Linked DNA regions of Rhinolophus ferrumequinum. The protein of the gene in region 3 interacts with the protein of the main gene of each other region in a biochemical or structural test. Links are inferred from orthologs where the notes say so. Each region holds a gene or a part of one and is shown on either strand. Other genes may lie near its edges. The genes, in order: LGALS8, RAB8A, LRRK2 and MAP2K7.

What was found.
Region 1: the proteins of LRRK2 (region 3) and LGALS8 form a complex in vitro, tested with the Homo sapiens proteins (2 studies listed by BioGRID and IntAct, with this or other methods). The link is inferred for Rhinolophus ferrumequinum from reciprocal best matches to the Homo sapiens genes LRRK2 and LGALS8.
Region 2: of the proteins of LRRK2 (region 3) and RAB8A, one has a biochemical effect on the other in vitro, tested with the Homo sapiens proteins (2 studies listed by IntAct). The link is inferred for Rhinolophus ferrumequinum from reciprocal best matches to the Homo sapiens genes LRRK2 and RAB8A.
Region 4: of the proteins of LRRK2 (region 3) and MAP2K7, one has a biochemical effect on the other in vitro, tested with the Homo sapiens proteins (2 studies listed by BioGRID). The link is inferred for Rhinolophus ferrumequinum from reciprocal best matches to the Homo sapiens genes LRRK2 and MAP2K7.

What each region holds. Positions count from the first base shown.
Region 1 is NC_046310.1:21,961,404-21,969,381, forward strand, and holds the start of LGALS8 (galectin-8), read right to left. Parts: upstream 3,018-7,978; 5' UTR 2,921-3,017; coding exon 2,879-2,920; intron 1-2,878.
Region 2 is NC_046301.1:49,741,596-49,749,557, reverse strand, and holds the start of RAB8A (ras-related protein Rab-8A), read right to left. Parts: upstream 3,008-7,962; 5' UTR 2,971-3,007; coding exon 2,760-2,970; intron 1-2,759. Other genes in the region: TPM4 (tropomyosin alpha-4 chain), read right to left, coding at 7,125-7,207. UniProt on the Homo sapiens protein: The small GTPases Rab are key regulators of intracellular membrane trafficking, from the formation of transport vesicles to their fusion with membranes.
Region 3 is NC_046293.1:43,684,012-43,691,354, forward strand, and holds the start of LRRK2 (leucine-rich repeat serine/threonine-protein kinase 2), read left to right. Parts: upstream 1-4,339; 5' UTR 4,340-4,472; coding exon 4,473-4,626; intron 4,627-4,878; coding exon 4,879-4,964; intron 4,965-7,343. UniProt on the Homo sapiens protein: Serine/threonine-protein kinase which phosphorylates a broad range of proteins involved in multiple processes such as neuronal plasticity, innate immunity, autophagy, and vesicle trafficking.
Region 4 is NC_046301.1:56,872,727-56,880,278, reverse strand, and holds the start of MAP2K7 (dual specificity mitogen-activated protein kinase kinase 7), read right to left. Parts: upstream 3,013-7,552; 5' UTR 2,939-3,012; coding exon 2,815-2,938; intron 1,114-2,814; coding exon 1,066-1,113; intron 1-1,065. Other genes in the region: volume-regulated anion channel subunit LRRC8E, read right to left, coding at 5,237-7,480. UniProt on the Homo sapiens protein: Dual specificity protein kinase which acts as an essential component of the MAP kinase signal transduction pathway. Essential component of the stress-activated protein kinase/c-Jun N-terminal kinase (SAP/JNK) signaling pathway.

The DNA.
Region 1 (7,978 bases), on a different chromosome or scaffold from region 3:
CCAGGGTAGAAAAAAAATTTGTTTTAATGAAATCCTTAAATACTTTGAATTTTTTTAAAAATGATTTACATATATTATCTTTATATTTAAAAAATAAAAAATGAAAAACCACTGGGTTTGACCTAAATGAATTTTAAATTTTGAAGAGAGATTATCTTCAGACTCTTGAGGGCTTGGTAGCCTGGGAGGAGCTGCCAAGCTAAAGGCAGAAGTACCATGACCCTGACAGAAATGGAAACTGCAAAAGGGAAGCCCGTTCGGGGAAGGAAGACGCAAGTTTTGTTTTGAACTCATAGTCCTAAAGGGTTGGCAGGGCATCTGAGAGCTGGAGAGGTGAACGGCCAGAACTGTATTCAGATTGTAAACATATTTGAAAGGTCTAAAGGTGATCAGTAAAGACATGAAAGAGAGAAGGAAAGAAAAAATTGGTAAAGACAAGAAAACTTAAGAAAAAGGAAAAAGAATCAGAGGGCAGAGCTGTGGTGAGAAAATCAAGGCAGCTGATACCGATTCACTCTCAGGAAGGTGTTCAGCCAAAGAACAACAAGCGAACAAAGGCTGTAAGGAACCTCAGAGGTTAAAAAGGAAGATTTTATTGTTTTGTGTTTTAAGATTAAATTGCAAGGGAGGTACTTAGAATACTAAGAAGAAAGGAAGCAAGGTCCCTAAGAAAATTGGCATAAGTTTTTCAGCACTGGGTGGGATTAATGTTAACAGCTGGTTTATTAACTTGGAGTAACAACCAATTTGTTCAAGTTCTAAATAACTTCTTAACCAGCTAATAATCACATCTTAAGAACTCTATAAACAACAATATTTATCTATCCACCTAAAATATTTAGGTAGATAGTTGTCAAGCAATATATTTCACAGAGGGCATTTCTGGTATGAAGATATTGTGTTCCAAATTATTCACTGAATTTAAATGGAAAGAAAAGTGAGCCTGACTATTTTAAGGTTTAGAATTCTCAGTTGAATAGTCAATGAAATATATTAAATACGAAAAAAGTACATAGGCTAGTTATACAATTTACTTTTATCTTTTCCAAGAAGAGTTCATATGGACAGAATGTGACTTTGTCTATCACCAATATGACCAAAAACTTTAAAAACATTAAGAAATAAAATTAAGTGACAGTTCTGTTTCTTCATAATGCTTAATAAAGAATATAGTAGCAACTCAATAAATACCTCCCCATTGTTTGATCACTGACAAAATAACCATAATGCAAGAAAACAGTTGTTTTTAAGTCTAGCTTGCACAATATCCTAATTGATAAAATATTCAAGTTATATGTAGCCTCCTTTTTTCCCCATTGTCTTTTGAACACTGGAAGGGCAACTCGCTACACATGGCAGAAGAGCTTCAGTGCGACATAGGCACTCAATGCTATGAATATTTAACAATAAGTGAAATTAAAGACAGATCAAAATGTTATTTTTGCCATTCAGTTCAGTCTTTCTACCTCTATCCTCTTCTGCTTCTAAGAACTGACTATAAAACAGAGAAGGGGGAAAAAAGCTATTTGCCAAAACAACTATTTCCTTTGACCTGTGCTCCTGAACTGCCCTGAGAGCAATAATGCCGTCCGGGAGCCCTGGGACCTGCGCTCTCTGGAGAGCAGCGGCGCTAATCCTCCAGGTCCCATTCACCAGGAAACACACATCATCCTACCTTTGTTTCACCTCTGCAGCTTAGGGGGCTAACCCCAGAAATCACAGGAACCATCACTATGCTAGTGTCAAGACATGCAGAGATTTTAATCCAGAAAATTATTTTCTAAGTAACATTCCCATTTCTTATGGGAATAAGGCCTCTTTGTGCATGCAGAGCAGAACTGGAGGGTGTATCCCAGCCATCCATCCCTCCTCCACCCGAGCCAAGCTCAGGGACAACTCAGTCACCCTTGGCAGGCAGCCTATATTTTTTTAACCTCTGCAGAAAGTCAGTCTACAACCTAGAGATGTTTTGAACTCTAGGACACACAAAATCATTTTAAATGTCTCTGATTTCAGATTCAGCAAGTCATCCTTTTTAAACCTATTACTACTGAAGGCTATTTCCTCTAAAACTGAGTTTGCTTGATATGGTGGTCGTAGTTTATTCTTCTGCAATGACATTAAAATATAGGGGAAAAAAAGAGTTACAGCCACAAAGCAAATAATAAAAAAAATTGAACCCATTTACACTAGTAAGACTGGTTTAGGGTCTTGCTTCAAGGACTCTCACCCTCCCTATTGTCCAACAGTCTCCTGGAGTGTTTACCAAAAAAAAGCAGCAACTCCACCTCAGACCTAAATTCTGGACTCAGCTCCAGATACGTGGAAATTGAAACAAGTCTGAAATCTCCAGCAACCAGTCACTCAGGGGTTTGTGGACCAGCCTGAAGCCAGGACAAGACCTGTAATTTTTCTCGTTTTCCATCTCACCACGAGTTTCTCTGCTTGAGTACCATGAGGTATTTGAAAGGCAGAGGGAAAAATTGAGCCATGGACAGGTCTAATTAAAAAAGAAAATTAAACACCTATAGAGGAAGAAATCTATTTTCTTTTTTAAATCATGTCTTATCATTATCTGCACCTTCTCACCACCACCCAAGTTGGCGTTCCCTCCACTGTTCTCCCACGTTCTCTGCTCAAAACACAGTTCTCATCACCTTGTCTTTGTAACTGTGACCTGGTCTTCCACTAGACTGAGCTCCAAGGGCTCCGTGTTTTCTAGTAAGTACCCACCACAGTCCCTATCACACAGTGGGTGCTTTACATATGTTTTGAATTTTATTCTTGCCCCTCCACTCCCAGCAATAGATAATTACTTTCCAACTGGATTTGCTCTCAATCCTGCAACAGGTAAAAAGTGATTTCATAGAAATGTTACCGGGTTATAGGTGACATTCTGTAGGTTGTTTAAGGACAACATTCTTCTTTTCCACCTTATTGTTGACTGGGGTCTCTCTTCTGTGTATGACCTAAGATTTTAATCACGTTTCGTTTAAAAGCTTCCCAGACTGAAACAGGCACTTGTCCTGTGTAAAATCAAAACAGAGGGAAACAAAATGCATCATTTTTCTTTATATCATAACTATTTTAAAATTTAAATTATAAATTATCTCACTGATATTTACCAAATGACAAGATGCTATTACAATGAAAGATCTGACCCCAAATCTTCCCTAGTGTACTTATATACTAAATAATTTGGCATAATAGTGAAGGAAATATTGATTTAAATATTACATCAGTAGAAAATTTCTAACACGGAACTTATTTAAAATATTAAAACAAAAAATAAAAATACTAAAATAAAATAATAGCAAACACTGCTGTACAATTATCAGAGACATTCATTTAACTTTTCTCATGTATAAAATGAGAATACTACTACTACTCATCTCACAGGTTTGTGCTGAGGATTAAATGAGTTAATAAAACAATGAAATAGATAAGTTTTAGCTATTATTATTAATACAAGAGAGTGCTCTTCCTCTTCCAAATTAAACTAGTCAAAGGGAAAAGAATCCAATCTCTTGAATATACAGTTTTCTCTGCGGCTAAAATAAAAAAAGGGAGGGGGAGCATCAGCCAGTTTTAAAGAGAAACTCCTAGTTATAAAATAAGTAAGTCACGAGGATGTAACATACAGCATAGAAAATACAGTCAATGATATCGTACGAACTGTACGATGGCAGATGGTAATTAGACCTACCGCGGTGATCACTTCGTAAGGTACATAGGTGTGGAGTCTCTGCGCTGCACACCTGAAACTAACACGACGTTGTATTCCACTATACTTTCATTCTTTAAAAAGTGCCTATCGGTACACTGAGCAGCGCCCCAGAAGACTGGATAGCTTGAGAACGAAAACAAAAACACAACTTAAGCTTCCTGCGCTACTTCCGCCCGCTGTCAGGACTCTGCCCCGCTGCACGCGCGGACCGGAGCCATCACTCTGTCCCGAGTAAGAGAACGCCGCATCCCTCTTAGTTTAGCACCTAATGCAACGCCGACCTGTGTCTTCAATTACACGTTAGTACAACATAAGTACGAACGAGACCCAAAGGAAAGGCCGCAGAGAACCCAGAGCCACACTCAGTGCACACGGTCACCAGGGGCCCGGTTTAAGCCCCAGGCTTCAGGAGCCTGTCGTTCCCCGAGTGTCCACAGGGACAGGCCCCGCGGTCCCGGACATCAACCACCTCGCAGGAAGCCTTCGTTACGTTGTAACCAACAGTGCAATTCGGATAACCTGCGTTTCCTAACGTTTAACAGGGAGTCCAGTGACTCGGCCTCTCACAGGGCGCCCTCAGAGCGAACCGGAAGAGCTGCGGGGTCTGTCGCTAAACTTAAGACCCTGTCATTTAAATGGCCAGAGTGGAAGCCTCCCCAGATCGCCGGCCTCGACTGGAGGGAGATGAAGCGGCGAACAGGCCGGGACCCCCGCGCCACAGGCGGCGGGCTGACGGGAGATGGACCCACCCCCATCACTGATTTGGGACAGCGACGACCGAACCCTCTCCCAGGCGGGCGCTCCCACCACCGCCGCGGACTCACCTGGGCCAGCAACGCAGGCGCTCACGCCGAGGCTATTTGTCCACTGCGGCGCGCCGTCCAATTCCCGGCCCAGCGCCCGTGCGCGGCTACGGAACGTGAGAGCAGTCAGTCCGCCGCCATTTACGGGTTCGCGCTCCGGGTGTCGCCATTGGCCCCGCCCCCGCTGCGCCGCGGCCGCCACCACGCCCGGCCTCCCACACGGCCTGTGGGGTCTCGGATCGCAGCCAGCGCGGTGCGGGTTGACCTGGACGAGGCAGAGTCTGTTTAAGAAAATCCTTGGGCGGATCTGGCTGCCTCTGCCTTTTCGTCTGGGTGAGGCGAATGGAAAGGGTTGGGAAAAACGGAGAAAGCCTTCCGCCCCTCAGCCAGCGTGTCCCCGCGGTCCCCTGTCGTGGGCCTCCGGTCTCCGAAGGCGGGCGCTTAGGCCCTGCCTGGACCACAGGCCCGTCTCTGGCCTTCCCTGGTTGCCCAGGTCGCCGGTGTTTCTCAGACTTGCTCCCTTGTCTGCCTGGGATCAGAGTCCGGGCTGTACGGTCAGGGAACCTGATTGGAGGCGCCCCCTTTGGGCCCCTCCTGGGTGTCAGTGAAATGGTGGGGACCTGGCTTCAGTGCAGTCGGACTGTGGCCGGCCCAGGGACGCGTCCGTTTAGTCCGCCTGGGACTAGCAGCCGCTGCGCATTCCTCACCCATCTTTTGTGGGGGGTTTCGTGTTGTACACGAGCCCGAGTCTGAGCGGTAGGTGTTCTGTAAACACCCGAGGTCTCCGCCAAGGGCCCCCACCCACTGCTAGTTCAACCTGTTGCTGTAAGAACGTCCGAGAACAGTGCAAACAGGTCACCGTGGCCGGTTGGCTGCGTGCGGCGCGGTTCCTGTTCGGGAACACGAAGTGCCCGTGTTCCTACTTGTCTCTCCTCGACTTTTAGCCGCGTTTGCTTTGAAAGACGCGTCTCGGTGCCACTGCGGTGGGTTTTTCTCCTCTGGCTTAATTGTTTCTGTTATTCTCTATTTAAGGAATTCATTACACATCCCGTACCAGTGAACTCACAGTCTGATGCACTGTTCCTTTTCTCTCTCCCCCCTACTCATTTTCCAAGTTTGAGCGACTCCAGGATCCAATTTAAATGGCTCCGTTTAACCCGTGACACACACTCCCCTGGACTAGGACTCGCCTTTCGGTGCACGGTGTTGTATCGGTACAGCTCCACTGTAAGCAGAAGAGGAACTTGTCGCATAATATTCCCCGATGCCTACTAATGCTTTGCACGAAGTAGACACTGGAAATATTAGGTTGAAATAGGATGTTGGTGAGGTGAGCAGCGATTGAATGTGTATTAGGTACTAAGCCCAGGCAAAGCTGGTTTAGGCAAGGCTGGGCTTAGTACCTCTCGAATACACATCTACATTCTACTTCTTTGGTAGGTGAGATTTAAGTGAAAATGGAACTGAGTCAAAGGGACAAAAAATCCAGTGTTGGTGAAGTAATACCGAATTAAAAGATGCATTACAAATCCCAAGAATTTATTCTTAGAAATAACCCCCACATTGGTCCCTATTTTGTTCAGTGAGTTCAGTATGTTTTTTGTATCGTTTAAAATCAAATACGTACTGAATGCCCTCCATGACGAGGTACAGCGATAACGCAAGTATACAAATGGCTTTGTGGTACCGCAGCACCCCCTTACCCGTGGGGGGTACGTGCCGCCATAGATGGGGACGTAGACGCCCGAAACATCAAACGCTGCCAAACCCTATGTAGTATACAATGTTTTACCAGTACACACATACCTATAATGAAGTTTATAAACCAGGCACAGTAAGAGACCAACAACAATAAAATAGAACAAGTATAACCATATGCTGTAATAAAAGTTATGTGAGTAAAATTAGAGTGTCTTGAACACAAACCCAGCTATCACCAGCCACTCCATCTGTTAACCGATAAGGCTACTAAGTGACTGGTAGAGACAAAGAGGTGAGACAACATGCAATTTCATCATGCTCCTCACGATGTCACACAATTTAAAATTTATGAATTGTCTATTTCGGGAATTGTTCCATTTAATATTTTTGGACTGCAGTTGACAGCAGGTAACTGAAACTGGAAAGTGAAATCGTGGATAAGGGGGGACCACTGTACTTGCCCCTCACGGAACCCTTTTAAATGCAGAAAAGAGACCTAAATATTTGGAAGGCCCACATCTCTTCCTTGGAGTATTGCAATGGCCCCCTAATTGGTCTCCGTGTTTTTGCCCTTGCCCCCCTGCAATCTAGTCTCAATCGGCAGCTAGAGACACCATAACAAAGCCTAATCCACACAGCTACTCCTCCTCTAAAGCCTTCTGCTAGCTTTTGTTCATTCTCTGAGGAAGGATCCAAGTTCTTACAAGAAGACTTCCATGGTCTGCCCCCCACCCCGCACACTCGGACGTCGTTTCCTATTGCGTCCCTTATTCTGCAGCAGCCACACTGGCCTTGGTATTCTTAGGACATATTGTCACACTCCCACCCCAGAACCTTTGCATTTGATGTTTCCTTTGCCTCCTTGAAGTCTCCCCAAATATCATCTCTCAGTGAGGCGCTTCCTGACCACCATATTTAAAATTGCAAGCACCCTCCTGAAACACATACGTACTCACAGTCCCCACTCTTCTTTGCTTTATTTTTCTCAAGTACTTCTCATATTTTAATATGCTATATAATCCACTTTTTGTTTTATTTGACTTCACCCACTCAAGTATAAGCTCCACGAAGGCAGGGAGTTTCGACTGTTCTTGCTTCAATGGAACTTACATTCCAGTGGGAGATACAGACAGACAGTGATGTGTTTGGAAAAGATTAAAATTGGATGATGTAACTGGAAGCATTTGGGTGGCTACTTTAGTTGGATGCCAGAGAGAACCTCTCCAAAGAGGTGAAGTTTAAGTTGCTGGTGAATGAAAGAAAGGAGGAAGACAATGAAGATCTTGGGGAAGAACATTCCAGGCTGAGGGAACAACTAACACAATCTAAGTCTCCTGAGAAGACTTGGTGTCCTCAGGAACAGAGAGGCGAGCACCATGGCTAAGGTATAGTAGGTGAGGAGAAAATGGTCTGAGTTGAAGTCATTTGATGAGGTCACCTAGGAGAGTAGCTAGATGGAGAAGGTGACCTAGGACAGAGCCCTGGGGAGAGAAGTCGAGAAAAACCGATAAAACAGACTGAGAAGGGGCAGCCATGGAGACGTGACGAGAGTGCTGTCATAAAAGCCAGAGAAACAAAGACTTAAGAAAGAAGAACAGCCAATTGTACCAAATGCTGCTGAGAGGTCAAGAAGCAGAAGGATTTAGCGACACTGAGGTCATTTGTGACAGACTCTGAAGTGGCTTGAGAAATGAGAGGTGAAGTGGTAGAAGTAACGACTAAATATTTCAAGAAGTTTTGCTGTGAA
Region 2 (7,962 bases), on a different chromosome or scaffold from region 3:
GAATATAAGCCTGCACTTGAATTGTGCCCACTAGGCCATAAGCTACATGAGAACAGGGACTCAAAAAGTTTTATGGCCACATATCCAGTGACTAAGCGTGGCAGGGGCTGAATACCTATTTTCTGGAAGCCAACTGCCTCATCCTGCACACACACCTTGACTACAGGCCTTGTTACAGTTCTGCTTCTCCCTGATTCATCCGAGTCATCTCTGCAGCCCCCGTACCAAGGCACACAGCGGACATCACAGAAAGATGGTTGAATGAAAGAATTAAGAGAAACGGGACCTACGTGGCGCTGCATGGTTTAAAAAGCACTTTTACCAACATCATCCGTCTCCCTGAAGGAATGAATGAATGAGGTCCTGAGGAGGTAGTGAGGGCCAAGCCAGGCTGGGGAGAACCAACTCCTGGAGCCACAGGGCCAAGTTCACACCACACACAATCAATGGAGCTTACAAAAACAGACTTTGGCAAACATAACCTGGGCAGAAAATGAAGAGCCACTTAATCCCTGATCTATAAAGAAAACCCAGAGGTATACTGAGTGCCAACAGAGACTCCCCTTTATGCATTAGGTTGTCTTTCAAAACTAAGTGGCCCAGGTCATCTCTTCCTAGAACACCTCCCATCTCATCACAGATGCAAGGCACCTATGAAATCAAGAAGCACCATTCAGTTGGCAGAGCCCCACGTCACTCGGCCCTATCCTCCTCCCGGGTTTTATTAACACACCAAATTTAATTAGGACGTGTAAACTTTATGAGACCTAAGAGTTATGAGGCCGTAACTTCAAGGTCAGGGTGAATTAAACTTTCCTAGAAGACAGAGGCCTGCAGGAAAGTTTCATGAAACCAATACAGAGTGGGTGGGAGGGATCCTGGGTTCAAGTGCCACCTCCACCTACCTAGGTGACCTTGCCCAAGTCATGGCCTCCTCTGTAAGTGGAGGCCAGCCTCCTCAGAGCCCTAGCATGCCAGCCTGGACTTTCTGGTCAAGAATCAGAAACCAAACAAAAACCCACCCTTGCACTGACCGCAGTAGTGCTTGTGCTGAACAGGAAGATCCTGACACTGGGAAAGTGAGATCTCTGTTGAGTGACCCACAGCCTGCCAGGTGTTAAGTGATTGGTGGGGGTTCAAGGGTTATCCCAAGGTTCAAGCTTGGAGCGGGGGAGGGGAAGAATCAGAAACACCTGTGCCCCAGGGAGGGACGCTATCACTACAGGAGTCACTCTGCTTCCTCTGGACGGACCCTGGCAGACAACCTTCTATTCATTGTACAGTTCTGATCCTCCACCACCTAGGGCTCTGCACAGAGCACTACTCCTAAACTAAAGAAACAAGGCTCAGAAAGGTGAAGTGATTGTTCAAGGGTGAACAGCAGCTGGAAATCAAGCAGAACAATTTTCTTTACTTTGCACCTGGCACCTGATTGTTTTGCAAAATGCAGCTCCTGAAGGAGGGCAATCAGCATTTCATCGTGGGGTTCAGGAGATGAGTTCATTGGGTTCAGGTTACACTGGGGTAAGGCAGAGCCTGTTCCCTAGAGTTTCTCCATTCAGAATCAACTCCTGGGCTTGGCAACCGTTTCCAGCTTCTCCACTGCGGAGCAAGGCTGTATAGATCAGTATTACTCTCCCAGGTCAAACCTTTTCACGTGGGCAATAGCTGTTTGTGTGGCATGAGGAGAAGTCAGATCCATTTTTGTGGCCGTCAGAACTGAAAAGCAACAAGCCAATTCTGTTCAACCACAATGTGGGCTGGCTTTGTGGGAAAGGCTGTTCTGCAAAGTGACAACCGGTGTCCTGGGCCTCATGATAGGGAAGTCTGGGCTGTCAGTGGCAGTGGCTGATTTCGGTTTCTCACTGAAGCTTTTTATCAGGCATCTCCTTGGGGATGACAGGTCCCAGGGAAGGCAGCTGTCACCTGCCAATGCTGTGACCCTTGAGTGGGATGGGAGGCAGAGCAGGGAAAGGCTCTGGACTCCCTCTCACCACTCCTTCTAGAGGAAATTCACCTATGGGGGACATAGGGTCAGGGATTAGAGACTTAACCCCTGATTATTCCTGAAGAAAGAACAGGACAGGTCTAGGTTAGAGTCCTGGCTCCAAGGTGGATCAGCTGTGCTTGTCCTGTGCTCCCACTCTCTGGGATGGCTGAGCCTTGAGTTTTGGGGTCAGGCACATATGGATTCAAATCCCATCGCTGTCACCTGAAGACTGTATGACCTTAGATAAGTCCCACGCCTCCCTGACCTTCAAATTCACCATCTGTGAGATGGGCTCACAACAGACCTAATATAGAGAACTGGAGAGTGTGATAATGCACATACAGTGCCTGGCACACAGTACATTCTCAATAAAGTCAGATGTCAGGGGTCTTTACCCACGGCCAACTCCCCATGCCTCAGTTTCACTTCTGCAAGACGGGGACCCCAAAAGAACTACTTTAAGGGCTGCTGTAAGGACAGAACAAAATGACAGACGCCAAGACCCCAGCCCAGGACATACACTCACTTAACAGGGGGCTGAGGATCGGGGCCTCAGTCTCCTCATCTGCAAAATGGGCACTTGGTTTCCCCCACATGGCCCGGGAACGCCCGAACGCTAGCGGAGGCGGCTGCTCTTCTCCCCAAGGACCCCCTCGACCCCCTCAGACCCCTGGGTCCGTCCGGCTCGGCCCCTCCCTCAGCCCCTGCCCCTCAGGGGCGCGCCCAGCCCGGGCCTCCGGAGACCCCGGCCGCTCCCCAGCCCCGCTACCTATGGTGGAGATGAAAGTGGAGTTGAAAGCGTCCTCGGAGAAGCGGAACAGGACACAGGTCTTCCCCACCCCCGAGTCCCCGATCAGCAGCAGCTTGAACAGGTAATCGTAGGTCTTCGCCATATTACACTCTCTCCCCGACGGGAAGTGCAGCCAGCGCCTCGCCACTGGCCGCTGGCCCCGTCCATCAGCGCCCAGCCCACCTCCCATTGGCTCCCGGCCCGCCGCGCGTCACCGCGGCCGACGCCCGCCACAGTGCTCCGCCCATCGCGGGGAGATCTGGGGAAGGGGCGAGCGGGGCCCGGAGCCGGAAGAGGCCCGAGAGCGCCGCTCATTGGCCGACGCTCGGGACAGGGCGGGCTACGATTGGCCAGCGGTGAGGAGTCGAGGGGCTTCAAATGAAGACCAGGATAGGGGGCGTGGCATCCCGGGTCCCCGCCTTCTTTCACCGACTCTGGGAGGCCCCGTCCCGCCCCCGAGGGGCGGGGAAGCGCGGGGAGCGGCACCAACGGTTCCGCGCGCCCGCAGCCTGGGGGCGGGGCCTGGGGCTCGTGCGCACGCGCGCCGGGGAGACCGTTAGGCGCCAGCAGAGGGCGCACGCTCGTGGGGTTGGTCTCTGGCTCCCGCCCTCTCGGCCCGCACAGGCTCAGTAGGCGCTAGGGCGAGAGGGGGAAAGTGCGATGGTTTTGGCGGTGTTTTCTGGGGCCTCCACGTCAGGCCTGGATAAGCCGAAGAGGAAAGGATTGAAGAGAGATCGTCACAGTCGAAGCGAGGGCCCCCGAGACGTGCTCCGGGATCCCAGCTCTGGCCAGGGGACCTATTCAGAGATCCCCAGGCCTTCGCCACCTGAGCGCGCTAGGACAACTCACGACATGCCCTCGGCCCTAATTAGAGGTTGTCCAGACCGCTTTTTGCCTTCAGTTCTTCCCCTGGAGCCTGCCCACCCCAACCCAGTCAGCCCTCGGAGGTCCAGAACCCGCCGAGGGATTTAGAATGAGAATTACAGGTATATTGAGGAACACTGGTTCTGTGTCCACCAGTGGTGTCAACACTTAATACCAAAATATTTCATCGCCACCCCAACCCCCTGTGGGGTAGGTATTGCTGTTTAACCACGTTTTATGGTGAGAAAACCGAGGCCACAGAGGCTAAGTGACTTTCTCGGACCCCGAAGTGGGAAGTTGGGTTTTGAATTCAGACCGGGAAGCTTCAGAGGCCAAGTTCTTGATCACTAGGGTTTCCTGCTTCTCAGAGATGGGCCAAACCCTCATTGTGGGCCATCAGAGCCGGAGGATCTTCCGAGATGGCCCCAGGGCGCCCCGACCTTGCATTTCAGCTCATTCTATTAATGTTTCCAAAAAGCTTCGTCCAGAGCCATGGACACCTTGTAGGCTTTACCGACCCCCTCCCCCACACCCCCACCCCTGCCCCCCGTATTTGATGCTATTGAACACCTCTGGCAATTCCTTTTCTTGGCACTCCTCCATTTTAATTGCCTGTTTACCAGCTACGTCCACCTCCCTTTCTCTGGCTGCTGCTTCTCAGATTCCCTTGCAGTCTTTGGGGGTGGCGGGGGTTACTGATTGTCCCCTAGATGTCCATGTTCCTCACGGTTCTTCCTATCTGTTCCCACTTTCTGAGTGATCTTACTTCCTGTGGCTTCTAGTGAAACCACACTGGTGATTTTCACTTCTTAGAGAATCCATCGCCCGCCCAGCCATCCCTCAATGTCTAACTTTCTTGATATCTGCCTTTGGATTTGTCAAAGATACTTCAAATTCATCATGTCCACAACTGAGCTCGACTGTCTTCTACTCACACTTAGCTTGTCCCGAATTACCTTCTTACTGAAATAAGTTGTCTTTGAGCCTTTTCTTTCATCCCTCACATCCTGGTTCTGAAGGAGGTTCTAAATAGCTCTTGGATCTTGCTTTTCTATTTCCATCACCCATGAGATCATCACCTCTCTCCATTGGTTTCCCCGATCATTCTCTAATCCAGATTCCACCCTGCAGTGTGCCCATTCTAAAGCACTTACCCAATGTCCATCCATGGTCTACGGGCAGGATAAAGTCCTCACAACCTAGTCCTAACCTCATCTGCTGTTCCACCCACACTTCATGGGCCTGGGAACTCCAAAAGAGCGGAGACAGGGCAGTTGAATAAACACTGAATATTTGTGTTAATTGCCGGGCCACAAGGATGACTAACACAATTTCCTGAGATTAGATTACAGCCCAAGGGGGTGGGTAGGAGGGAGAAAGAACTTCACCTTAGTAATGATGGTAAGGCACTTGTTTGACATTCTCAACTACCATCTAAACGAGCTCAGTGTCAGCTAAGTGTTGAATAGCAGGAAATGTTTTCAGTTGTACTTGGTAACAAAAAATTGTTTGCATACTGCATCAGTGTTTTCAAGGCTTTCATTTCTCTTTTTGATTCCCTACCCGCCTGTCCCAATATCAGATCTTGAGGCAAATACCAAAGCAAGTCAGGTAGTGAAACTGCAGTCACCTTTGACACTTTTAAGTTCTGTACCATTCAGTCAGCTAAATCGTAAGATTACTTCTTGCAGATCACTTCTTCCTTCTGATTTCACGGCCAACGCTTCCCTGGATTAATGGAAACATCTTCCTCACTGGTTTTCCTGCCACTAGTTTCCCTCCATTCTATTAAGAGCCCTTCCTGAAAATGAATGCTAAGTGGGTTTTCCTAATGTCAGGGGCTTTCTACTCCTGACCAAATTAAGGTTCTTATCAATGTGGATTTCTTTCCTTTATATACTCAACACACAGAAGACCGTACCCAGGCAGGCCTATGCTTTCCTGACTCAAGCAACAGGGACCATCTTTCCTGCTCCTATCTCATCTATTAAAACCTTCCTCATTCTTCACAGCCTGGCTCAGCAGGACTGGGGAATAACAAAGGACAGGAGCTTTTGAGTTACTGAGGCAAAGTGTTCTCACCTGTAATAAAGAGATCACAATCCTCACATCATGAAGTTGTGGTATACAGCCAATAAATAAAATTTGCTAAGTTTGTGGCAGTTATCTCCGCATCCCATGCATTCAATGAACCAAAATGCCTTCTATGTCTCGACGCATTCTAAAAGTCACACAAATTATAGTTTATGTAAAAATTTATTTGACCAAAATGTAGAAAAAGTGATACTACGTATTACATATGATACAGCTGCAAGAATCTAAATGAAAAGTGTGGGTTCTATTCAATTGCACAATTTGCTAGTGTATCTCCTGGGTAGTGTGATGTGTAATAAATAGGAGTGAGGGGCAGAGGAGTCGGATAAGCTAGAAGCAGGGTGGTTTTTAGTCAGAATTGTAAACTGGCCCCCCCCACTGCTGGGGAATATGGAATGTTTCAGCTCTGAGATGTTAACCGAGAAAGCGAGAATGTAACAAAGCTAACATGTGCAGCCCTGTCTACAAAATACTCCATATCCAGTTTAATCAGGAGTTTCCTGGTCTTTTATTAACTTGGTCCTGAAGAAGGAATTAAAATCTTAGACACGTAAATCTTCAATGTACCATTCCCTAAAGTACAGAAGAGATGAAGTTAGGCCAGTTACTTTATCTCTGCTGCCAGAGAGGCCTTTTCTGACCAATATTTATTAATAGAAAAATGCTTTTGCTAAATTATTGATGGTGACTAGTCTTTTTGATATAGTCCCATGAACAGTACTAAATTCTACCATATTCATTCCTGCTGAGTGGATGGCTTCTTATCAGAGTATTATGACTATTTCCCCAGCATTCTCATGCTGACTGCTCAGAAGATGTTTGTTCTGCATGGTAGAATGTGGAAAAAAGCCAGGGTGAGTAGGTTAATCTATCTGTGGTTTATGACTTCCCACAACAGCACCGCCCCCTTTTTGCTCTGGAAGGAAAACCCCCACCCATTTTCATGTGATGGTCCCCGGCCTCCTGTAGTGTGTCCACTGGTGGCTCAGAGGTTCTATTCTTCAGCCTTTTAAATTGACCAGTGACTAGATATTGGACTCTGTGTTTTGAAAGTGTGGTATTGTCTAATCTCCTGGGAACCAAATGCCCTCAGTCTTAAGAGACTATGTTCAATAGGAAACACCCTGCCTACCTTAGTGATAAATGCAATTTAAGGATAAAAATAGAGCTGAAAAAGCTGGTGCCATTTGGGAAAAAAAAAAAAAGGAAGGAATTAGATTTAACTGGTGCTCAAAGCTTCTCTGATACAAAATATTTGGTCACGTATTCATAATTTGCTTGACATTTCCAGCAAAGCGCAGATGCAGTAACAAAGGAAACTTCTTACAAGAGAAGAGAAAGACACGGAGGTCTGGAGCTTCTGTTGGAACAACTCTTCTGTTTTGGTTATATACAATTAAGTTCATTTAGTGTCTGATCCAGTGTCTGATGTAAGCCCACATTCTCTTCTTTGGCCTGGGCAAGTTTTTCTGGTGAGAATTAAATAAAAGAGTGGGAGAAAAATAAATTAATAAGCACATTTGTTAAAGGGCAAAAAGGTTTTCTAAACTCCTCACTGCCAGAGCAAATCATAGCAGAGAAAGTACTTTGCATCTTAATTATAAAAGAACACGATGGAATACTAGAGATCAAGTACAAAATTTGGGAGTCAGATAGGATAGCAGGATAAAATACAGGGTGTTCATTAAATTTGAATTTCAGATAAATAAAATTTTAGTATGGTAGATATATCCCAAATGCTGTATGAGATAAGCCAAAAAATTATTCAGTGCCTATCTGAAATTCAAATTTAACCAGGCGTCCTGTATTTTAATATGCTAAATCTGGCAATACTGGTTTTAGAGACAGAACACCTAGATTTAAGCCCCAGCTGTGCTGCTGAAGTAAGCCATTGAACCTTTCTAGGTCTCAGTTTCCTCATCTGTCAAATGGAGATAACAATACCAATGTGTGGTATGGGGGCTATTATGAGAAATGAGAAATGCTTCAGGACTTATGAAGTGCTATACAAACATAAGATTTCAGTCCTAGATATGGGTGACTTAATACAGTTTCCCCTTAGTGCCAGCTAATTAGTCCCTGAGCTTTGGGGAGGAAAATACAATCCTGTAACCCATCTTTCCTTTGGTGCTTCTGGGAATGGCTGTTGAAATCCCAGGTGTAATTGTGTTACCGTGTCTGTGTCCATAGCAATGTAGTCAGACCCCAGGTAAACGCAAAATGA
Region 3 (7,343 bases):
GAATCTAAGGAACAAAATAAACAAACCGAACAGAAACAAACTCATACATATGGATAACATTTTGATGGTTGTCAGATGGGAAGGGGCTGAAAAGGGTGGATGAAAAAGGTGAAGGGATTAAGAAGTACAAATTGGTAGTTACAAAATAGTCATGGGGATATAAAGTAAAGCATAGAGAATATAGTCAATAATATGGTTATAACTATGTATAGTGCCAGGTGGGTACTAGACCAGTCACTTAAATTATATAAATGTCTAACCACTATATTGTACGCCTGAAATTAATATAAAATAGTACTGAATGTCAATTATAATTGAAAAATTTAAAAAAGGGAATAAAATGTTGAAGGGAGTAAGAGGTCCAAATTTCTAAGTATAAAACAAATAAGTCATGGGGATGTAATGTGCAGCATAGGGAATGTAGTCAATAATATTGTGATTGTATGGCATAGTATCATGTGGTGGTTGGACTTATTATAGTGATCACTTCTTTAGGTATGTAACTGTTGAATAACTATGGTGTACATCTGAAACTAATATAATATTGTGTGTTAGCTATATTTTAATAAAGATCTTTTTAAAAAGCTTAAGAATGGGTATTCTAAGAGGAAAAAGGAACTATGGAGGCAGGTTTATTTTAAAGATCGTAGGACAAAATTCAGAGGTGAAGTGTTTCTGAGAACAGCACAGTATATGTCATGTAGATTGTCCTTTAACCTGAGGCATAAAACAAGAAGACTGCAGAAAACAGGTTAATAAAAGCTAAAATCACTATCTCAGTACCATCATTTTGGGGGCAGTTATTGCATACAGAGGGCATCAACAACTTTGGTGTCAGCAGAATTTGGCCACAATAAAAGGACCGGCCTGCTGCTTGGGAGGGACTGGAGGTGGTCTCTCTGGTTTAGGCAGCAATGCCTTCAGTCATTTAGTCAGCAGTAGTCACCTTGCTTTTGCTGTGGCAGAAACATGGGCAATCCCCCATTCACAAATATTTATTGACTATCTGCATGAATTCACAAGTTGTCGAAACTCTAAGGATAAAGTAGTGAGAAAAACTTATGGAGTATCATGGGGCTGATAATCTAATCAATGCAGAGCAGAAAAAAAATAAAGCTAGTTTCTACTCGGTAGCCAAAGAATACTTTGGGGGGTAGGGAGAGAGGAAGCACATGTGATATACATCCTGGGAACTTCAGGCATGTTTGGAAGAACATGAGGGCCTGACGTTGGCCCAGAGCAGGAGCTGACAGCTCCTGAGAACTGCTGTGTTGGCTGTGAGTCTCCATGGATCCCCAGTCTGGTGTGGCCAACAAAATGTGGATTGCATTTTATGATGTGCAAATTAACTGTGTAGGAATCCATGTGTAGTTCTCAGTTTTTAGAACAAGACTTCTCATGTTGTTGTTTTTAAGTCATGAGTTAAAGAGACTCTTATCTGAAGTTTCATTATGCTCTTAACCAAAGCAAATTCTAGTAACCACTGCAATTGATCTGGGCCTCAGACTTGCCACATCGTTGGGTGCTTTCTCTTTCTGTCTCCACAAAGTGATGCCTTTACATGGCCCAGTCCTTCCTGATGAGAATTGTCTGAGTGATACAGTTATGTGTTTGAATCTCAGCTCCGACTCTTAGGTAATTTATAACTTCTCTAACACTATTTCTTGAAAAATAGGAATAATAGCTGCCTCTTAGGGTTGTTGAGGTTAAACAAATTATACATGTAAAATGTCTTGCATAAAGTAGGATTCTGAGGTGCTCACTAAATTTTGTCTCCTTTTATTTCCTGTGTACCCACCTAACTGTGGCAAGAAATCCTTCCTGCTCTACATAATCATTGCTGAATGCTGAGGAAAACGGCTTTACGTTCACCCAGGATGTTTACATAATGCACTTGAGTGAGAAGTATGAAGAAGTAACACACACTGGAGAAGCGCAGTCACTCTCTCATGGTTAGTTCTACATTTGAAAGCTATGGTTTTTCCCTTTCCTTCTTTTTTTTTCCGCTATAGCAAAGTGCACAGGGCATTCTGTTTCCTCATACCAAACTATTAATCTATATATGTTCTTTTAAAAGTTATTTTCATTTAACTTTTTAATCCATCTGGAATTTGTTTTGGTGTCTGCTGTAATTATCAATGTCCATTTTACTTTTTTCTTCTCAGGAAGTTGGCCAAATGTTCCGACACCATTTTATTCTCCACTGAACACTACCTCTATCATGAATTTGTGCTTGTTAGCCTTCCTTTTCAGTCATGTTAATTATCTGAAGAGTTAATAAGTCTTGGATTTTAGTTAATCAATTAAGCATTTGTGAAAGCTAAAAGGGTACTTTGCCCTACCTCTGCAGTCCTGTGGGAGAATACTCCCAGCAGGGAATTCATGTTCCCACATCGCCGACCGCTATTCTGGCTAACATAGAGTAGGCAATAACTAGGCAATAGATGGAGGAAGGAATTGAGGAAAAGAAGACACACCTTTTTATTTAGTTTTCTTGGGAAGGAAGCTAGGTTTTGATATTTTGCAAGATAATAATCCAGTAGACTGGGAAGGAGAAACTGATGCAGGGGAATGGGAAGGAAAGCATGAAATGGAGAATCCTTAGGAATGCTTGAGATACTGATTGGTTTAGTCCGAAGTTGAAACATGTTCAGAAACCAGTTAGGAAAGGACATACTGCAGGTATGATAAAGATGACAAAGTTGAGAGTTTTTTGTTTTGTTTTCATTATGGGAAATCTTACACAGAAGAAATAGTACTATAGACCACATGAAGTCATTGCGTGTCTTTGACAATCATCAATTCGAAAGTTGGTATTGTCTCATCTCTACGTCCTCCCATTTCACACTGTTCCCCACCACTGGATTCCTTTGAAGCAAATCCTAACCATTCTGTCATTCCAACTGCAAATATTTCAGCATTTGTCTATAAAAGACAAAAAGTCTTTATGACAACAAAGCACATTCACAACATTCAGGTTGAATTTGAATCTGCAATTTTACTAATCTAGTGTATTAAGGAAGCCTAGCTCATCTTGATTAAAATGGTAAAGTGCAAAGATCCTATAACTGGGCTTTAGGAGACCTACCTGGGTTTAAGTGATGGCCCTCAACTTCCTATCGGTGAGTCCAACAACGCTCTTCTCTTATCAGCTCTAAATCTCAATTTCCCTGTTAGTAAAAGAAGGATAAGTGGCTGTCTTATCCATTTCAGAATTGTCCTCAGGATGAGGTAACAGAATTGAAAACAAACCATTCAAAATTGTGAAATATTAAAACTTTCAGTTCAGTCCTCTCCTTTGTCAATGACGCCCAGCACAAATCATCTAAAGGCAGTAGATGGTCTTTGTTTAGCCTTGTCTCCAGTGTTTCCTGGTAGATTTCTCTTTGTGAAAAACACATTACTTTGGTACTGTTTTTTGTTTTTTTAACGTTAGGTTTATAGATGCTCATAATCATAAGTAATTTTGAATGCCAAGAGAACAATGCCTTGATTGCTGTCTTTCACCTTTTCTGGTTTCACCTTTTCCTTTCAATTTACCCTGTGTTTCTCTTGTGCCCCAATTATCAGGATCCTACTGAGTGCAAACTCAAATTTTCAAAAGTTTATTTGGTGGCCTTTTGGCCAACAGAGCTTCAGATAATTAATAAAGAAAAAAAATTATTTCCTCCTTTACAAACGGCCACAACAATCATAGAAAAGTATTTAGATAGCCGTACTTTGATTACAAAAATCTCTTTCCATCCTTGAGGGGAAATTACTCATCTCCCCATAGGGGGAACTCTATAAAGAGAATGTTTTCCAAAAAGGGGCCAACTGGGCGGTGTCCTCTTTTCCCAACGCCCAGATTTCTATTCTTAGATCTGGAGATAGGAGGCGGCTTTCATTTTTCCTCTTCCTAGTTTCCAGACCTTCTGCGGGACTGAGGGCGCTCAGGCCGGCGGCTCGCAGCGGGTGACCGGCTAGGTTGCAGATTGCACTCCTCCTCCAGCCGCTGCTGGGCTCCGGGCCTGGGGAGTCCGCCGAGTCCCCTGAGTCGGTTTCTTCTTGCACGATTCCCGGCCGGACCGCCCCGGCGGGTGGGATCCGGTCTGTCGGGGCCCGCCCGGGGATCACGGTCACGGTCACCTCGGCCAGGCCCCGCTCAAGCTGCGTCCCTGCTGCCCGCTAAGGTTCTGCACAGCGCCTTGCCCTGGCGAGCCTCTCTCAGGCCCCTGAGCTCATTTTTTGGGCCTGGGTTGGGCAAGAGGAAGCAGAGGAGGAGGGCTCAGGGCTGGCAGGACAGCGCCGGGTGGGGAGCCGCCGCCTTCCTCATAAACAGGCGGGCGTGGGTGCGGATGGGGCGGGCGGGTAGCACGGGCTGCCGGCTGTGAGCCGTGCTCTCCTCGGGAGCAGTGACCCGCGCCGCTGCCCCTTCCCTGAGCAGACGGCCTTGGTGCGGGAGGGGCGGCCTGTTGGGAGCAGGGTCCATCATGGCCAGTGGCAGCTGTCAGGGGTGCGAGGAGGAGGACGAAGAAACTTTGAAGAAGTTGATAGTCAGGCTGAACAATGTCCAGGAAGGAAAACAGATAGAGACACTGGTCCAAATTCTGGAGGACATGCTGCTGTTCACCTACGCTGACCACGGTAATCATTTGCGAGGAAACTGTTCCTTTATTACACTCCCTCCCCCCGCCTCTTTTGCAAACTGTCTCCCCTACACTTTGCGCAAACGTGGACCCTTGGGAAGCCACAAACTCTACTCCTTAGGGCAAAAAGGAGCTGAGAATTCTCGGAAGGTATTGCGCTCACTTCTTTTGCTCTCTCCCCCTTTTTCATACTTAACGGGTGCTGTGAACCGTGACTTGGCTTCTTTTCCCCCACCCCCTTCTTTTCCAGCCTCCAAGTTATTTCAAGGCAAAAATATCCACGTGCCTCTGCTGTTCGTCTTGGACTCGTATATGAGGGTGGCTAGTGTGCAGCAGGTAAAGGAGTTGTTTTCATTTCTCCCATTTCCCCTTTTCTTTGGAAATACTTTTATGTCAATGTTATATGCCCAGAGCTCTGGGTTAGTTCTGAGATTTGGCTTGACATATCAATGACTGTGATTTTAAGATGGAAGCGTTGTCAAATCATTGTCAAAAGATAACTGGTGTAAAAGGGTCCACTGTGTGCTCCCTAATTGTCTTTAAGAAGTAACTTTATACAATTGACTGAATATGGATGGTGGTAAGGGGAATAATAATGGAGTGAAGTTGAGTTCTGTTATTGGCTACTTAAGTTCATCAGTGTTTAACTCAAATTGTTCTAAGAATCTTCCGAATGTACAGCATGCCCTAGAGATGACACCATTGTGAATAGTTTGCGAAAGGGGAATAATTAACAGTAATAAAATTAATAATCAATGAATAAAATGAAGTAACTTACAAACTTTCATAGGGTTAGGTTTTTTTTTTTAATTTGAAGATAGATTCTAGCCTTCTTTAGTTGTAGTATATCTTGTATTAGCTAAAGAAAGTGATTTATGATTCCCCTATAAGTCGATATTTTCAACCTTTTTCATATCATGTGAATCTAGAAGTGAAACTTAGAGTCTTCACCACAGGAAACCCATAAATTTGCTAAATACATTCGATATATCGAAAAAGGAGGCCTAACAAGATAATTAAGGATGATTTACAGTCAAAACAGCATTACTGCCTAACGTGTTAACTTCTTTTGTAGGTTTTGAGATTTAGAGAACTGAAATCAGTTTTGTCATTTGTCTGTAAGGTCCTGAAGGGAAAGATAATTGAACTTTGAACTCCACTGAGGTGCAGTCAGAAAGCCAATGTTTTAATACCTACTAGACAGATGTAAGAGTTATTTGGATCTCTAAATCTGTGTCTATCTACCTTTACCTTTATGATTATCTCTGTATCAGCTGTGTCTAATCTGGGTGAACCATATACTTAGCCTGTTTTATATGAGGATATTTATATCTGGGATAAATGGTTACTTTTATTTTTTTCAACTGAAGTATTTCCCATCTGACTTGATTTTCCGGTTGTTAGCATACAAAACCGAAAAGATGGAAGCATGATAAAGACACTGTCCTTTTTAGCACCCAAAGTCTGAATTTTGCCCATGAAATATGAGTCACTTTTTAGCACTGGTCCACTGTGCTTTCCATCCACATCGTCCCTGCTTACTTGCCTCGGGTGTTCAAAAGTCCTTGTCTGACAGCATCCTTGGATTCTATGCTTGGTAGAGTCACCCCTGCTGGGTGCCACTCAGAACAATTGGACCCTGAGTGGGCTTTGATCTGCAGGATCCAAAGAGGGCAGTGCTAGATGTCAGAACCCAAGGAGCTTGGAACATACTCACCACCTAATTCTTCATTTTCAGAACTGTGCAAGCTTGGGCATGTTTGTCTGGAGTAGTTATGAATATCACTCAATATCCTTGCCCAGGGGTTACCAGAGACAAAGTATGGAAGAAACTAAGGACTTGTCTTCTGATTTAGTCATTTAATGGAATAGAATTATTCGTTTCAGCACCATATGTGTATTAGTTTGCCAAGGGCATTATGTATGTTACATCATTTCATTCTCACTGGAATCTCACTGACCTGTCAGAAATCTCACTGTATATTTTTTCCTCAGAGTAAGTAGCTCATTTAGAATCACAGAGCTACTGATAGAGCCAGCACATACGTTCAAAATTTCTTTCCATCTTACAATCCACTACCTGCTGAATTCACATGCTTTTCGTGAAAGTAAAAACACAGTGGTTTGGTACCAATATTGTGGTTATGCTAGGTACAGTGACATTATCAATTTTAATTATCATTGGTCTTATCAAAGGGCTGTACAGATGGGTCTCTCACTGATATTTTAATACTTCACTTAAAAGAAAGTGTTTTTTTTCCTTCAAATTTCTTCATATTACTGGTGTAATTAATATAGATATCCTTTTGTTCTTTACATGTTGAATTAGCTGAAAGTGTTAAATGAAAGACTCGTAATCGAAAGTAAATATTAAGGTTTGTTTCCAGAATTCACTTAACATGATAGTCCAGACTCTGAATTTTTATTTTCAAGGTCTTTTCATATTTTATTCATGCTCCTTAATAAATGACAATCTTTAGAGGTTGGTAGTTAGGCTAGCTGTCCTAATACTTTGTTTTTTTCCTTCCAGTCATCTGACCATTTCTCTGTGCTCTTCAATTTTACATTACTTCTTTTTACCCACACAGTTCAACCTTTGAAGGGAGTGAAATAAATGAAGGTGACTAAATTTTTCTTTAATCCCTACACTCTATCCCATTGTGCATTAATTAGATCCTTGAGTTTACAGACTAATTATAATATAATAAAGTGAAA
Region 4 (7,552 bases), on a different chromosome or scaffold from region 3:
GAGAAAACAAGAGGACATGGGGGCTGTCAGGAGCCACAGCTGTACCAGGCTGTCAGTCAGCAGGGGTGTGCGCACACACACACACACACACACACACACACACAGGCATGGCACTAACCCCCATACACATGCAGATGGGCAGATAATAGACCACGGAGCCCCCAACACCATCTTACACACACACACACACACACACACACACACACTTACACACATTCAACTGCCTAATATCCCACTTACACACAAGGACCAACAGGACCAGACAGACCCCAGCCCGGTCTCTCACACACCACCGACCCAATGCATGGGCACACCCCACATACATCCACTCCAGCCAGACCCGCTGGCACCTGTACTCAGGCCTTGGCAGGGCTGTGCACATGCTCCCCGCCCCTCCCACAAGACACTGCTCAAACCCCACCTTCTCCAGAGGCTTCCCCCAACAGTCCCCCTACAGAACCCCCAAGCCTGCTCTCCTCTGCTTTCCCCAGTACTTGTCGCCTTCTCCAGTTCTCCCCAGTCAGGAGGCGCTCACTATTCTCACCCCTTCAACTCCTAGTGGGGCATCAGCTGCACAGCGGGACTTGGTCGGTTCTGTTCACTGCTGTATCCCGAGCCTAAAACAGGTACAGCACCCAGGGGCCAAGACGTGTCCCCTGAATTACTGAAATGGATAAACAGGCACAGCCAACATGCTGGCCCCCCTTTCTCTCCCTCTTACTTCTACACACTCACGCACGCACACACACGCACATGCATGACCCCCTCACAGGTGACAGACTCCCAGTCAATGAGGGAGCCCAGGTCCTCCACCAGGGGGTCCAAACCTGCACCCAAGAGACAGAGAGGAGAGAGGACACAGGAAGAGGCCAGGTGGGCCTGATGTTGACCGTAGGGAAAGAGAAAGTGAGGGAGTGAGAGGGACAGTGAGTGAGGAGATGCGCACGCACGCAGGGGCGCTCACACACACAGAGCACGGGGGGAGGGGGATGGCATTCTGCGGCTAGGGCAGCGGTTAGGTCAACGGTGCAGATGTCCAAGCGGCGATGATAAAAAGGCTGGTACCTGCTCGTTGGGACGGGGCAGGAGCAGGGCTTAGAGTGATCACAATAACTGGATGGGGAAAAGGAAGAAAAAAAACAACACCACGATAAATCACAACAGAAACAACCGATTTGTCCAAAAGAAAAGAAATCAAATCATAACGAGGAGGAGGGGGGAGGCACGAGGCACCAAACTGCAGAGATGGGTGGAAACCGACAGATGGGAGGACCGGCAGGAGGGGATGGAGCTGACGCTGACACACACAGATGCCTGCAGGGGGCTCCTCGGGGGCCTGCCCGCCTTGGGTCTTGCCGTGCCTTGCTCTGCACCTGGGACAGCCACCCCTGTAGGCACCCGACGCCCCGTACCCAGCGCTGTCTTGTCCATCCTGGAGCTTAGTAGAAACCCTCCAGTCCTGGCTGGGTTCCTACCCCAGGGAGTGTCCAACGCCAGCATTACCGCCTTGGGGCTTTCTCTGGGCCCCCAAAAGACCCCTCAGTGAGGCACCCACACTGACCCACGTCAGAAGAGAGATGGGGAGTGGACCCTACACACAAGACGGCGGCGGGGGCGAGGAAAGGCTGTGAAGGTCAGGCCAGGTGAGTAGGGGGTGGTTGGGGAGTACCCAGATACAGGGATGTCTTCCCCTCCTGTCAGGATGACCCCACAGGAGCTACGTAAGTGTCATGGGGGTGCTGTTCTTCAAGTCTGTGGGCAGCGGGAAATCTGATGCCCTCCAGCTGAGAGGAGTTGGGTTCTATGGGACATAACAAGGATCCTACATGTGGTCATGGTGATCCCAGGGGGGACAGCTCTTGATTCCAGATGACAAGATGACAGGAAGGTAGGTGCTGAGATGGTGGAATTAGAGGGGAGGCGTATGTGTGCTGGGATGCTAGATACCACCATATGGGCCTCAGGTGTCCCCAGGCTGGGTGGGTAGGGGTATGTGGGGAAAAGGAAGTCACTTGAGCCCAAACGACAAAGTCTCCAGGTTGGGGGCTGAGTGTGTGTTTTTGAGGGGCCAGACACATTCACCAAGATGGTGGCAGTGAAACTGATCAGGGAGTGAAGGGGACCTGGTACATGTATGTGAGTAGAATGTGTGCGGGAGGGGGGCTGCTGGGCTCAAAGACAAGAGCCCACGACGGAGAAGGGATCACCAGACACAGTCACAAGGAGTGGGAGAATCGTCTTGGTCAGAGGGATAAGGGGGGTTACGTGTGCTCAAGTGACCTGAGGTGTCCCCCGGACAAGTGTGAGTGAACCATCCCTTGAACCCGGATGACAAGGACCCAGGCGTGGAGTGGGGGTAGGTAGGGGCCTCTTGACACAGTCACCGAGATAACGGGAGCGGAACCATCTGGTCAAAAGGGATGTGTATGTGCTTGCGGAGGACGTGGATTTGGTCACGGCCGATTGGATTGGGTAGGGGGAGCACGGCTCACAATAGGTGACAGAGACTCCGAGGATCACGATGATGGGGGCGGGTCATCAGGTGGGGTCCTCGCCTGGAGCCAGGTAACTAGGTTCCCAGGCTCCGTCAGGGGGAATCACCCAGGCCGGGTGAGAGCCGCCCGGGAGCTTGCCAGCACCCCGCCCCCCGGGTTGCCGTGACCCTCGCGCCGCGAGACGACAGCGGGGAGGGGGGAACGGACCGGAGAAGCAAGAGCGTCCCGGAAGCGGGGGCGGGGCCTGGCGGCGGGGGCGGGGCTTCCCGCGGCGAGCGCCCCGCCCCACCCGCCCCCTCCCCCATGCCGCCGTGCTTACTGGGCCTGGGCCGCTGGGGGCTGATATCCAGGTTGAGGTCGATCCTCCGCCGGGCCTCGCGGTTCTCTTGCTTCAGCTTTGCTTCCAGGCGGGACAGCTTCTGCTCCAGGGAGGACGCCGCCATCTTCCCCGCCGCCGCCGCCGCCGCCGCCGCGCACCGCCCGGCCGACCGTCAGCCCGGCAGACAAACACCGCACTGCGCCTGCGCCCGGATGACCCCGCCGAGCCGCCGTTTCGCCCCGCACCGCGCATGCCCGTGTTGCGCACCCGCCCTTCCCTCGTGCGAACCCCCGCGCGTGCGTCCCTCGTCCCAGCCCGAGGGATGACACCACCTAGAGTTAGTGGCTGGCAACGTGCAACGTCTCCGCCGTGATGCGCACGCGCGAGTTTCCCGAACTCAGTGGTGAACGGCGCTGTGTGGAAACTACAATCACCGTTCTGCAGAGAGCGGTGGGCGGGGAAAGGCGGGCACGCTTAGAGGAGAGGAGGTCTCGCGCGTGGCGTCTGCTGCGCACGCGCATGCCCGGCGGCTCGTGCTTGGGGACTTGGGGAGGTTGGTCGCCTCAGCCTTCTTTTTGCTCTTCCTGACTGGCCCTTTTTTGGCACCCACGCCCTCTCAGAACTGCCTTTCTCGCCTGGGACATGGTCCATTAGGATCTCTGTTATGCTTAATTGTTGCCTCCTCACCGTAATTAGGCACCCTTGCCATTTCAGCAAGCTCAGGGTTAGCCAAGGACAAGTGAGAGAGGCGGGGTAGGTCTAGAGCTACTGTCCACCGGCATGACCTCTGACCTCGGCGACCGGGACCAACGTCAGTGCTGGAGAGTTCCAGGTCAGACTGGCGTGGGACAGTGTCAGGCTTTCCCTGTCTGCCCTGCCCCCAGAATGTGAACCCAGCTCCTGGACAATGCAAAAGACTGGCCCTGGGGTTCGGCGGCTCTGCCTGGTGTCCCTGTAGCCTAAATATTCCTTTGGTCTGAAGGGTGCTGGGGAAATGTCCCCATCTGGAATCCTGGGTCCATGGAGAGCAGCTTGCCTCTGCTCTTGGGTGCCAGGCGGAAGATTGCATCCTGCAGATACCTTGGAGGGGGCCAGGCCCAGGTCAGGTTCAGGCAGGCTGTGCCTAGTGCCCTGCCCACTCCTGGTCCAGCCGAGGGGATCCCTCTGATGAAGACTTATGGGGGGAGCAGATACAAAAGTATGGAATCAGGAGGATAACACGGAAAGTAGAAGAAAAGGGGTTCCCCAGGGAAAACCTAGGCAGAAGACGCCACCTCATTTTTCCTGATTAGCCGAGGGCGCCTCCTTACCCCCTTCTCCGCCTCTGACCCAGGACAGAGACTCATACCCTTGACTGTGGCACATGTCACCACTTGCCTGGAAGTGGTCTGGTGAAACGGAAAGCTTAGTGACAGGCGTGGACACGAGATCGGAATGATGGTTCTCATCATTAGGACTGTTTATTAAGCACCCACTGACACATGCTTCCTCACACAGGGAACATTCCAGAGACAAAGTCCCTGCCTGTCCTCAGAGCAGTGTACCCTCCACAGCCGGTGTTCTTAACTTGGTGTCTGCCGGCCTTAGGACATCCGTCAGTAGCCCTCTGGGGGAGCTGGGGGAATCTGTTGACGACCTGAAGTTGTAGGCAGAATTGTGCATGAATGTGTACACGAGCATTTTCCTGAAGAAGGAGGTGCCCAGCTTTCATCAGATTCTCGAAGGGCCTAGGGACCTAAAAAGGGTTCAGAATCCCTGCTATATATATCCAGATATCTCCCAACATACAGGCCTAGGACCACCTTCGTCAGAATGAGCTGGAATGTTTATTTACAGGCAAATTCCTGGCCTCCAGCCAAAGCTTCTGAGTCAGTCTTTCAGGGGTGGGGCCTGGGGTGTTTGTTTTGGAAATGTTGATTTTGATGCATAGCCAACTAAGAGGCCCATGTTTCTGAGTTCACGTGTCCATGGGAATCAACTTATAAATAAGGGATTAACATCCAAGTGAGGGCAGTGTGCACTGGCCCCTTGTGTCTGTATCCCCTCCTTGGGGCAGGGAAGGATTGAAATTTTACTGGGATGTGTCTTCACCCCTTTTGTTGTACTGATTGAACTAGAATGTCCAGGGGAAGGGCAGCAGTCTGGCCCAGGGCTGGGGGCAGGCCAGCCAGCCAAAGACAGGTGTGGTTTTGGTCTGTGAATTCCATGACTTAGTTAATCCCTCCATGACATTCTACCCCAAATCCACAGACTCCCGTCTCCCCAGACAAACCAGTCCCAGGATCTTGCCTGGGCCCCACAGACTGACATGTCTGCTCCTCTCCTGGCCTGGGCCCACCTGGCCACCTCCCTTGAAGACATTGGTAGATTTGGGGACAGAAATACCCAGAAGGCCTCTACCGCAACATGCCCCTCCCTGGCTTTACTCCTCTTCCATCTTCTCCCGAACCTCTGCTGGCAAGCCTTCATAAAGAGTGTCCTCCACCAGGAGGCCCGCCTTCTTGAGCCCCCTACAGTTGCCCAGTTCTTCCGGCAGTATCTCCAACCGGTTGCCATTGAGCTCCAGGCGGCTGAGGGCACTGAGGGCCCCCACCTGAGGTGACAGATATCTCAGGTGGTTATAGCCCAGGAGCAACGTCCGCAGCTTGCCACAGAAGAAGAGCTCGTCGGGCAGGTCCTCCAGAGCATTGTAGGAGAGAGCCAGGTGCTGCAGGTTCTGAAGGAGACCCAGCTCCGGTGGCAGGGAGTGCAGCCCGTTGTGGGAGACATCCAACAGGCGGAGGCCAGAGCACATGCCCAGCTGGGTGGGCAGGGTCTCCAGCTTGTTGTGGCTGAGGTAGAGCTGCTCGAGGACCCGGAGCTTACGCACGTGCTCGGGGACATAGGCAATCTGGTTGTGCCATAGCCTGAGCGTGACCAGCTTGCGACAGTGCTGGAAGCTGAGGATCTCCTCAATGGACCGCAGGTGGTTGTCCTTGAGGTCAAGTTCCTGCAGCGCACCCAGGCTGAAGACAGCGTGAGGGATGCGCTCCAGCCCACAGGCCACCAGCTCCAGCTCCCGCAGCACCGCCAGCTTCTTGAGGCTGTTCAGTGCCAGCAGGCGGGCCCCGTCATTGTGCAGGCTAAGACGCTGCAGGTGGCCGGCCACGTCGGTCACACTGGCTGGGACCTTGCCAGCATTGCTCCGCAGAGACAGCACCTTGAGCTGCTTCAGCTCACGGAGGCTCTCGAGAGTGGCCGCCCGAGCCAGCTCTGGAGGAAAGAGCCCCTCAAGGTGCAGCTCCTCCAGGCCACGCAGTCCGAACACCCAGAGGGGCACCTCACGGAGCTCCTCGCACTTGACACGGATGACCTTCAAGCGGTCCCGCAGGAAGATCTGTGAGGAGAAGGGCAGCCTGGCGGGTGAGTGGAGCAGGCTGAGCTCCTGCAGGTGCACCAGCTGCGACAGGCCCGGAGGGAATGTGATATCACTGATGGCCTCCAGCCGGAGCGCCTCCACCTCGCTGAGCTCGAAGACGGTGTCAGGCAGTCCTGGAAGCATGCAGAGGGCCAGCTCCAGCCGGCCCTTGGCGTTGCGCTGCAGCTTCTGCCGAAGCTTCTCGGGCGTCCACTCGTGGTTGAGGTTGAGCTGCTTCAGACGGCTCTCGCTGACCTCAGAGAGGAAGACGGCAAAGCGCTTGGAGTAGAGCGGGTCGTACTGGTCGATGAGGTGCAGCATGAAGGCAAAGTCGTTCTTGACATCGGGGATGTCACCCATGCCAGTCTCCTCCCGCACGGAACGGAAGGAGTACTCCTTGAGGGGCCGGTGGAAAAGCCAGTAGAGCGTATAGAGGCAGGTGACCCCGTATACACACACGAATGAGATGTAGCAGAAAGCCAGCTTGGAGAAGAGGTGGGCCTTGGTGTGGTTGCAGCAGAAGCTGGCATAGCCCGTGAACCTGGAGGTCTCCACCGTGCAGGTCACCACGAAGCTGATCTTCTCCACATAGATGAGGTTGTAGACCAGGATGGCAACGAACTTGCAGACTTTGAGCACCATCTGCCGGATGTACATGGTGTATAAAATGTCCCCCTCTTCCACATGCACACGGAACTTCTTGACCTTCTCAAACAGGGCTTTGGCCTGCTCGCCCTCCTTCTTGTCCAACAGAGTGACGGCTGGTGGCTCAGTCACCACCTTCTCAGGCTCTGCCAGCACCTTTTCCTTCTCACCCTCCCCTGCCTTCCCTGGCCCTGCCTGGGCTTCCATGGTTGCTGTTGCTCGTCCAGCAGCATGGCCCTTACGGTTCTCCCCGGAGACCTCGGAAAGGGCCCGTGTGGTCCACGGTGAGTCGAAACATTTGCCTAGGATGGAGGTGAAGTGCTCGATCTTGGAGCTGGTGCCAGGGAACTTGAACCAGAAGCTGGTGCAGACCATGAAGATGAGTGTGTGAATGACAACCAGGTAGGGGAAGTACTTGGGGTACCAGTGGAGGGCCTCCTCGTAGCAGAGCTGGTTAATGAAGCTGTACTGCTGTAGGTCCAGGTTGTTCCTGAGGCCGTTCACCTCCTGGAGACCCCCCATGTGCTCGGAGACCCCCTGCAGCAGCAGCTGCTGACACGGGGCCTCGGACAAGTTCTCCCGGGATTCATGACTGGGCAGACAGATGATCTTGTCCTGTGTCACCTGGGAGTGGGGGGATTGGGAGAGAAGTAGGCTGAGGTGGAAAGCCCCAATCTGACTGGCCCCCGCTAGCTG